Linked DNA regions of Danio rerio. The main gene of each other region encodes a partner of the protein of the gene in region 2 in a complex. Links are inferred from orthologs where the notes say so. Each region holds a gene or a part of one and is shown on either strand. Other genes may lie near its edges.

Evidence for each region.
Region 1: polr2eb (region 2) and asdurf share a complex: the UniProt entries of both Homo sapiens proteins name them as parts of the PAQosome complex. The link is inferred for Danio rerio from reciprocal best matches to the Homo sapiens genes POLR2E and ASDURF.

The regions. Positions count from the first base shown.
Region 1 is NC_133184.1:42,816,922-42,820,679, forward strand, and holds the start of asdurf (ASNSD1 upstream open reading frame protein), read right to left. Parts: upstream 2,240-3,758; 5' UTR 2,165-2,239; coding exon 2,087-2,164; intron 1,965-2,086; coding exon 1,911-1,964; intron 486-1,910; coding exon 410-485; intron 288-409; coding exon 247-287; 3' UTR 235-246; coding exon of another isoform or gene 1-234. Other genes in the region: asnsd1 (asparagine synthetase domain-containing protein 1), read right to left, coding at 1-234.
Region 2 is NC_133197.1:17,299,480-17,303,237, reverse strand, and holds the start of polr2eb (DNA-directed RNA polymerases I, II, and III subunit RPABC1), read right to left. Parts: upstream 2,669-3,758; 5' UTR 2,578-2,668; coding exon 2,521-2,577; intron 2,360-2,520; coding exon 2,185-2,359; intron 1,809-2,184; coding exon 1,693-1,808; intron 1,600-1,692; coding exon 1,519-1,599; intron 363-1,518; coding exon 304-362; intron 158-303; coding exon 79-157; intron 1-78. UniProt on the Homo sapiens protein: DNA-dependent RNA polymerase catalyzes the transcription of DNA into RNA using the four ribonucleoside triphosphates as substrates.

The sequences.
Region 1 (3,758 bases), on a different chromosome or scaffold from region 2:
AAACACCTCTCCATTCCAGAGAAGCATATTCCCAGTGTCATCTTGAAGAGGTTGAGGGGTCAGGCAACCCCTCATATGAAGTACATGTGCAGAGAATAGGACACTGCAGTTTGAGATTTCTTTTGTAATGTCTTTGCTACAATTGGGTCCTCTGTGTTTGAGATTTTGAAGCACATTCTCCTCCAGTGGATCATGTGGTGTGGTCAAACTGACCACACAGCAGATCCCACACATGATATCACTTCACTATATATCTTGATATTCTTTCCGCATGTTATCCAGGTCCTCTGTATAACAGAATATTATGACAATGTTAGAAGAACACACTCAAAATGGTGGCATTAGTATTGTATTTATGTATCATCTATCAAAAAAGCAGAAACAACTCAAGTATAACAGAAACACTTACGTTTACAAGAGCTAAGGGTTTCTCCTTTGTCTGCCAGAAAGAATATATTGCTGTTGGGTTGCTGGGTGTACACTCTCTGTGAATATAATCTTAGTATTACTGGAATGTGATGATATCAAGTCAAGTTGAGCTTTATTGTCATTCCACTACATGTGTGATCTCGGCATGGGACGGTAACCGGTTTCAAGGTTTACCGCGGTTTGGAAAATTCAAGGTTTTAATCCCAGTAAATTGTTCTGTTATACCGTTCCCAAGTTATATGTAAAAGTTTTTTTATATATTTTTATGTGTTGTATAGAAATCTACGTTTTTCAAACTAACGAATAGAGCAGAAGTCAAAGATTTATTTTAACTATTTAGCCTGACATGTTTACTGTTCCAAAATATTATGTTCCTTAAAATAAATAATTTGTGTTCAGTGGGGAAATTATAAATGTTTGTTCTATTTTACCCATACATTTTAAAAAAGAGAGAGCAGTAATCACTTTCACAATACTGTGATACCGTGGTATTTTTATACAAGGTTATCATACCGTCAGAAATTTATACCGGCCCATGCCTAGTGTGAACATACAGAGAAACTAAATGTGCAGTCTCCCAGGACAACGGTGCTACATAAATTAATCATAAATACAAACACAACTCTGCACATAAGAGCTATTTTAAAAACCTACGCATAACTATAAGATACTTCACTATACACATGGACTGGCTATAGAAGTACTCTAGAAAATCTCCACAAAAATGGGCCAGAAATGAAACTCAGTCCTATTTGCTTCATTTACAAGTCTGCCATAAGAAGAACACTGACTTTGAGGTAAATTATCTTAAAATAATAAATTCAATAGTTCAAAGGAATTATCCAATTTGAATCCCCATGGGTTAGAAAATGGCAACAGATGATACATTTAAGGTACTTTATAAGTTGATAATTTTGTCAAGCTTAAATTCTACTTTGCTTTTAATTGATGTCAAATAAACTGTTTCACAATTACGTTTTATCTTTCATAAATTTAACTGGAAAAATATCTCTAAACATCGAAGGAACTTCTTAGTTGATATTTTTAAATGTGAATGTAATTAATATCATGGTAAGACTTTATTTTGATGGTCCCTGTTGCACATTTTTCTGACTAAAGTTGTACTGCAACTAAATGCCAGTTACTTCTCATTTGGGTATTAGTAGACTGTCTGCTTAATATCTGCTGATACTGCTGCTTTCAACATTTCACTGACTAAGAAACTTTGCAAGTACATGTCAATTTACACCAACCCCACCTGACAGTCTACTTATAATCTATTGCGAATTAGTATAGTGGAGCATAAGTTCATATATTATATTGTATGCTACACTAGAAAACATTTTAGTATATATTGCCTTCTATAGCGATGTGGTTTGACTTTGTTACATCTATAATTAAGTGAAAGCATCTGCTACACCAAATGCAGAATGACTCTTGATAATATATAGAAAGTGACAAGACGATATGACGTTACATACCCTGTTTTTCTTCAAGTTACTTAACTCGTCCACAACAATCTTTTGCTCTTTTATCTGCGAATGAATAGTTATGTTTTTAGGATCATCAAAAAACAGAAATTACTAAACATGCTTAACGCGTTTTACTGGTGTCAACTGTATACTATAAATTACAAAAAACATATATGATAGACAACCTTTTGGTTCAGCTCCTCTTTTTGTGCGCGCTCTTCTGAGGCCCCAGGCTCAGTTCGCTGTATGTTCTTGGAGGACATTGTTTATTAATACGCTTCAGATCATTTTTAGGGAAACATCTCCACGAGCAAGTAACTCGTTCGTCGCACAAGAATGACGTATGCGCCAACGACGCTTTAAAAGTGCGTCACGTAATCCTAACCCCATTATCCCCCATAAACAAAGCCTGTTAAAGAATAATGTTGGGTGGATAAATCTGCAGCATCTAAACAAAGACGCGTTGTTGAATGAAACAGGGAATCTAAGTAATGTGGTCAAATACGGTTCAAATACGTCGAATGCTTTCAAATAGAGTTTTTACCCGGATATTAACGACTTTTCATCGCGAAACAGCGGCTAGCCCATCTATCTAAACCTGATATTATCATATTATCTTATATCATATTTTGCCATTCTTCTAATGTACGATAAGATGGTAATAAACAAAGCCTATCATAGCTCTAGGCGTACATTATCTTATCCAAATATTTTGGTTTATCCTCAGTAATTTGAGAGCTATCCTAAAGAGGATTGTTTGCATTTAACTTTCAAGATGAACAAATAATGCTCATCTTAATGGAAAAATTGTTCAGGGTGTCCGCAGGGACTTTAAAAGTCTTACATTTCAAAAACAACATTTTAGGCCTTTTAAAACTTTACTTAAAAGGGTGTTACAGGTCTTAAATAATTTTAAACAGGTGTTAATTTTTTTGTCCATGTAAAGCTATTTAATCGGTACAAATAACAATTATTCTAAAAAAACAATTAACTAAATTGTATATTCTAAAACTCTTTACCAATTTGGTTCAATTATCTTTCTTAAAATAAACTTATTTTGTTTATAAATAAGTGTTTGAATTGTAATGGGGCAAGTAAAAACAAATTGCACTGGTCCTTAGAAAACAAGTTTGACATTCATTCATTCATTTTCTTTTCAGTTTAGTTCCTTTATTCATCAGGGGTCGCCACAGCGGAATGAACTACTAACCTATCCAGCATATGTTTTACACAGCGTGTGCCCTTCCAGCTGTAACCCAGTACTGGGAAACATCCATACACGCTCATTCACACTTATACACTACAGACATTTTAGTTTATTTATTTCACCTATACTTCATGACTTTGGACTGTGGGGGAAACCGGAGCACCAGAAGGAAACCCACACCAACATGGGAGAACATGCAAACTTCACACAAAAATGCCAACTGACCCAGTCAAGACTCGAACCAGCGACCTTCTTGCTGTGAGGCAACAGTGCTAACCAATGAGCCACTGTATCCCTCCTAAATTTTGTACATAGGAATAATGCTCTAAAGTGAAGCGAAGAGAGGGGTGGGGGGTTGTGCATGAACCCCGAATCATATCTCTAGGGGCCCCCAATATGCGTAAGCCCTTTAGGACTGTCCTGACCCTACCACAGGGGTGTCCAACCTTGGTCCTGGAGGGCCAGTGTCCTGCTAAGTTTAGCTCCAACACACCTGCTGGGAAGTTTCTAGTATATCTAGTAAGAGCTTGATTAGAGTTGGAGCTAAAGTCTGCAGGAAAGCGGCCCTCCGGGATTGAGTGTGGACACCCCTGCTCTACCATCTTTAAAGGACTTCACAGTCAAAAAAATAATAGTTTGGTAATAAAACA
Region 2 (3,758 bases):
AAAAACACACACAAATTCACAAACTATCAGCTGATTGCGGTCAATCAAAATGAGCTAAAAATTGGGCTGATTTCCTACCTGGCCTCTTTTTAAGCCAAAGTAACGTGCAACGGGATCCCCAGCTTGAATTCTGGGAAGTTGGCTTTCCTTTAGCTTACTGGAGAAGCGCTGGTTAAGGTGACCTACATGTACTGTGAACTATCCAACTGGAGTTAAACATATATAATACACAAAGTTGAGCTAAACCATAGAAATATGAAAATAACACTGCTGTAAACTTAAGCATCTTTCATGAAAGGATACTACCGCGCCAGCAACTCAGTCACTTCTTCTTTTGTCATAACTATGTGCTCTGGAACAAGCTGAAATACATGAAACCATAGTTATTGCAAAGGATAATTAGATAAAAGTGTTAAGCATCTTAAAAAAGTGCTCAAAACAAAAATGATGAATATATTAATTATCAAGAAAAAAAAAGGTGCCCAAACTCGGCACTGCAGAGTTTGGCTCCAACCCCTGAACCAGCTAATCGAGCTCTTACTAGCTCTACTAGAAACTTCCAGGCATGAGTGCAGAAGCAAGTTGGATCTAAACCATCTAAGACTGAGTTTGGGCATCTCTGATCAAGAGAAACAAGATTTTCTTCACAAAGAACCAAATTATACAGTGGAATTCAATGGATCATTCTTCAATGGGCAATATGAACAGCTAGTGTTTTTAAACCAACAGTAAAAGGTTTTTGTGACTATTTATAAGGTTGCTTTTACAACATCGTAATGTAATTGAAATACAATCCCTTAAATAAACTTAAGCATTCATTTAGTAGTTCAAGCATAAAATGAGATAATAGACTGTGTAACTGCTAGCGCTGTCAATGGCAGCAGGCTAGCGCAGAAACTCCATTCAAAATACTGAGGTAAAATAATTTAACACACCGCTTTATAGCACTTTATATCATGTATGTGTGTGTGTGTGTATATATATATATATATATATATATATATATATATATATATATATATATATATATATATATATATATATATATATATATATATATATATAAGGCACCGGAAACCATATTAAAAGTCTGTGTGCATATAGCCCATTGTGTTCAAAAGAAGAAAGAAACTTCAACGCTAGAAACTAGTGGACGGAGATTAAATGATGTCAGAAGAGTTATTTCTGTGTAAACTGGCTTTTTAAGTTAGGAGATTCTGATTGGCTGTGGATTTTTTTATTGTTCATCAGCTAAAAATATAATAGTTCTCCGAATGTGATTTTGGACTAACAGTAAGTGATACAACATTAAGGTGCTTTTTTCCACCAGTGAATTAAAAACCGTGCAGCCATTGACTTCCTTAACGGGAACAAAAATACTACAGCAGGTCAATGGCTGCTGCTTTCCAACATTGTTGTCAACAGAAGAAATAAACTCAAACAGTTTTGGAACAAGGGTGAGTACATGATGACAGAATTTTCACTTTTTGGGTGAGCTATAACTTTAAGTCTCCTCACCTCGTGTTCTGTAATGTTGATTAGAAGCTCCTGCTGAAGAAACTGCTCCAGTATGTACTTTGGTGCCATGTCGACCAGAGACTGAAATGTGACAGAGAGAGATAAAAAAACGTATTTATCTTGTAAAGTGCTCGACATTAGAACTGTAAACATTAGTAAATGTGCGAGTTGCACCTGTTTGGCGGAGGGTGTCATGCCCATCTGTACTACAATGATGGCGCGGGTGATGTTTTCCTCCTGCATGCGCTGGCAATACATCTTTATGGTTTTGATGCCAACCTTTGGTTCCTCTGAAAGCAAAATTGAAGTTTCAATATATTTAAACTCTTTAACGTAAATACAAAATTGATCAACCACTCCACTGAGGTAAAGCTGGTTTCACGTTTGTCCATTTTTACCATGATGCTTTGAATATTCAGTCTGCAATCGCATGGAAGTATGACTTTAAAACAACATTAGCCCTATTTGACTATTTAATTAACAGTGATGTATTTGATAGTAGCTGGCTGCTAATATGATTTCCCTGTTTAGAATTAGCATAGAATACTTTTCTGAAATTATATTATTAAGGAGATTGTCCGAATATAAAACCAACTTCACCTAATAACCACTCCTTGTTATCTCGGACTAGTTAAATAAATAGGGCTGCTGCGGAATAAAACATACCCGGGAAGAACACAAACATCTGGTCGGTCGGGTCGTCATTGTGGGCCACCAGGACTGTCAGGTCATTTCGTCGTGGTCGACCCTCGCTCGGTTTATCTCCAAACTGACTCCTGAATTCATCAAGAGTCTGGTCCAATTCATCCTGCGTCACCAAATATCCGCGATCGTGACAAAGCTGTTGGTTAAATATCAACATTGTTATTACATCATGTTATTTCTGTTATTTAAATGTGTATGGTTTTATAAAAGACATGAAATCCATTCAATAGTAAACCGGAACAAGCATCACTAAACTGTGCGAAACGTTATAAATAAAGCATATATGTCTTTCTTTACCTGCATTATAGTTTTTCTAATTTTCCATAGTCTGTATGTCTCTTCCTCGTCATCCATACTGCGCTATAAATATGATTAATACCAAATTTTGACGATCAAAACAATCCGCTAATGTGATGCTTCTTCTCCACGTTTGTTTCCCGTTGCTGGCGCGAGTAAATGACGTCAGACGTTACGCCACAGCGTAGATACAATGCGCAGCTTTAAAAAAAAAAAAAAAAAAAAAAACAATGCGCAGCTTTATTTCGTACAAAAAACAGTGCGCGTTGCTTAGAAGTATCACAACTTCTAAGCAATATCACAGCTATTGCTTTCTTTAAATACTGATTTTGTTTTATGTAAACGAACAAGGAAGGAAAGAGAGTTGTATAGCATTTGAGAAGTGCGTAGGGTTTGAATCGTTTGAATATAGATTCAATCGAACAGTTCAAATATCCGGTGTCAAGGCGATTCAGTGATTCATTTTGACCATAGAGCGTCGTCCCCAGCGTTTTAGGAAATGTTACAGGGTTAAAAAAATACATTAGCAATTATTCCAGAGGATTTTGATTGAGTAGATTTACGTCAATTACATTTATTGTAACGTTATGTCTGCTTGTGTTCAAAAGTTAACAAAATCGATTAGAACAATTAATAAATTGTTTTGAAAAAGGGTTTACAAAAGGATAACGATCATTAATTTTGTCTTATTGTAACCCACCTATGAAATTGATTTACTGAAAAGGGGAAAATTATCTACTGGGTCTGAGCTTTCTAAAGTATATATGAAATTTCAACACAATTTACTTGAAATCTCGGGTTCGGGATATCTCAACTTAACGACACAATATATTATTGAATGGTGTGGTCAAATTTTACATATTATTAATACTATAATCTCCAACTGCTCAAATAAAAAAAAATAAAAAAACCCAAACACAAGAAAATACTTTTGAGTTTGCTGTATTGCAAATTTTCTGGTCTGTATCTGAACTGCTTTTCAGCCCTTATAAAAACATACTCATGTATTCAAAACAAACAAAATTAAATAAATAAAATACAATATGTTGACAGCAATTCAGCCCTTTTTGAAAAAAAAATAAAACTATACAGAAGTAGGAAAATACAGTTTCAGTTGTCTAAACGTCCCAATTTCAACATATATTTATATATATGAAACTTCAAAGTCCTGAATGTAATGTAAAACGTAGTTCAATGACTGTGAATCAGTGTATGTGTTTCCTACGAAAATCCTTGAC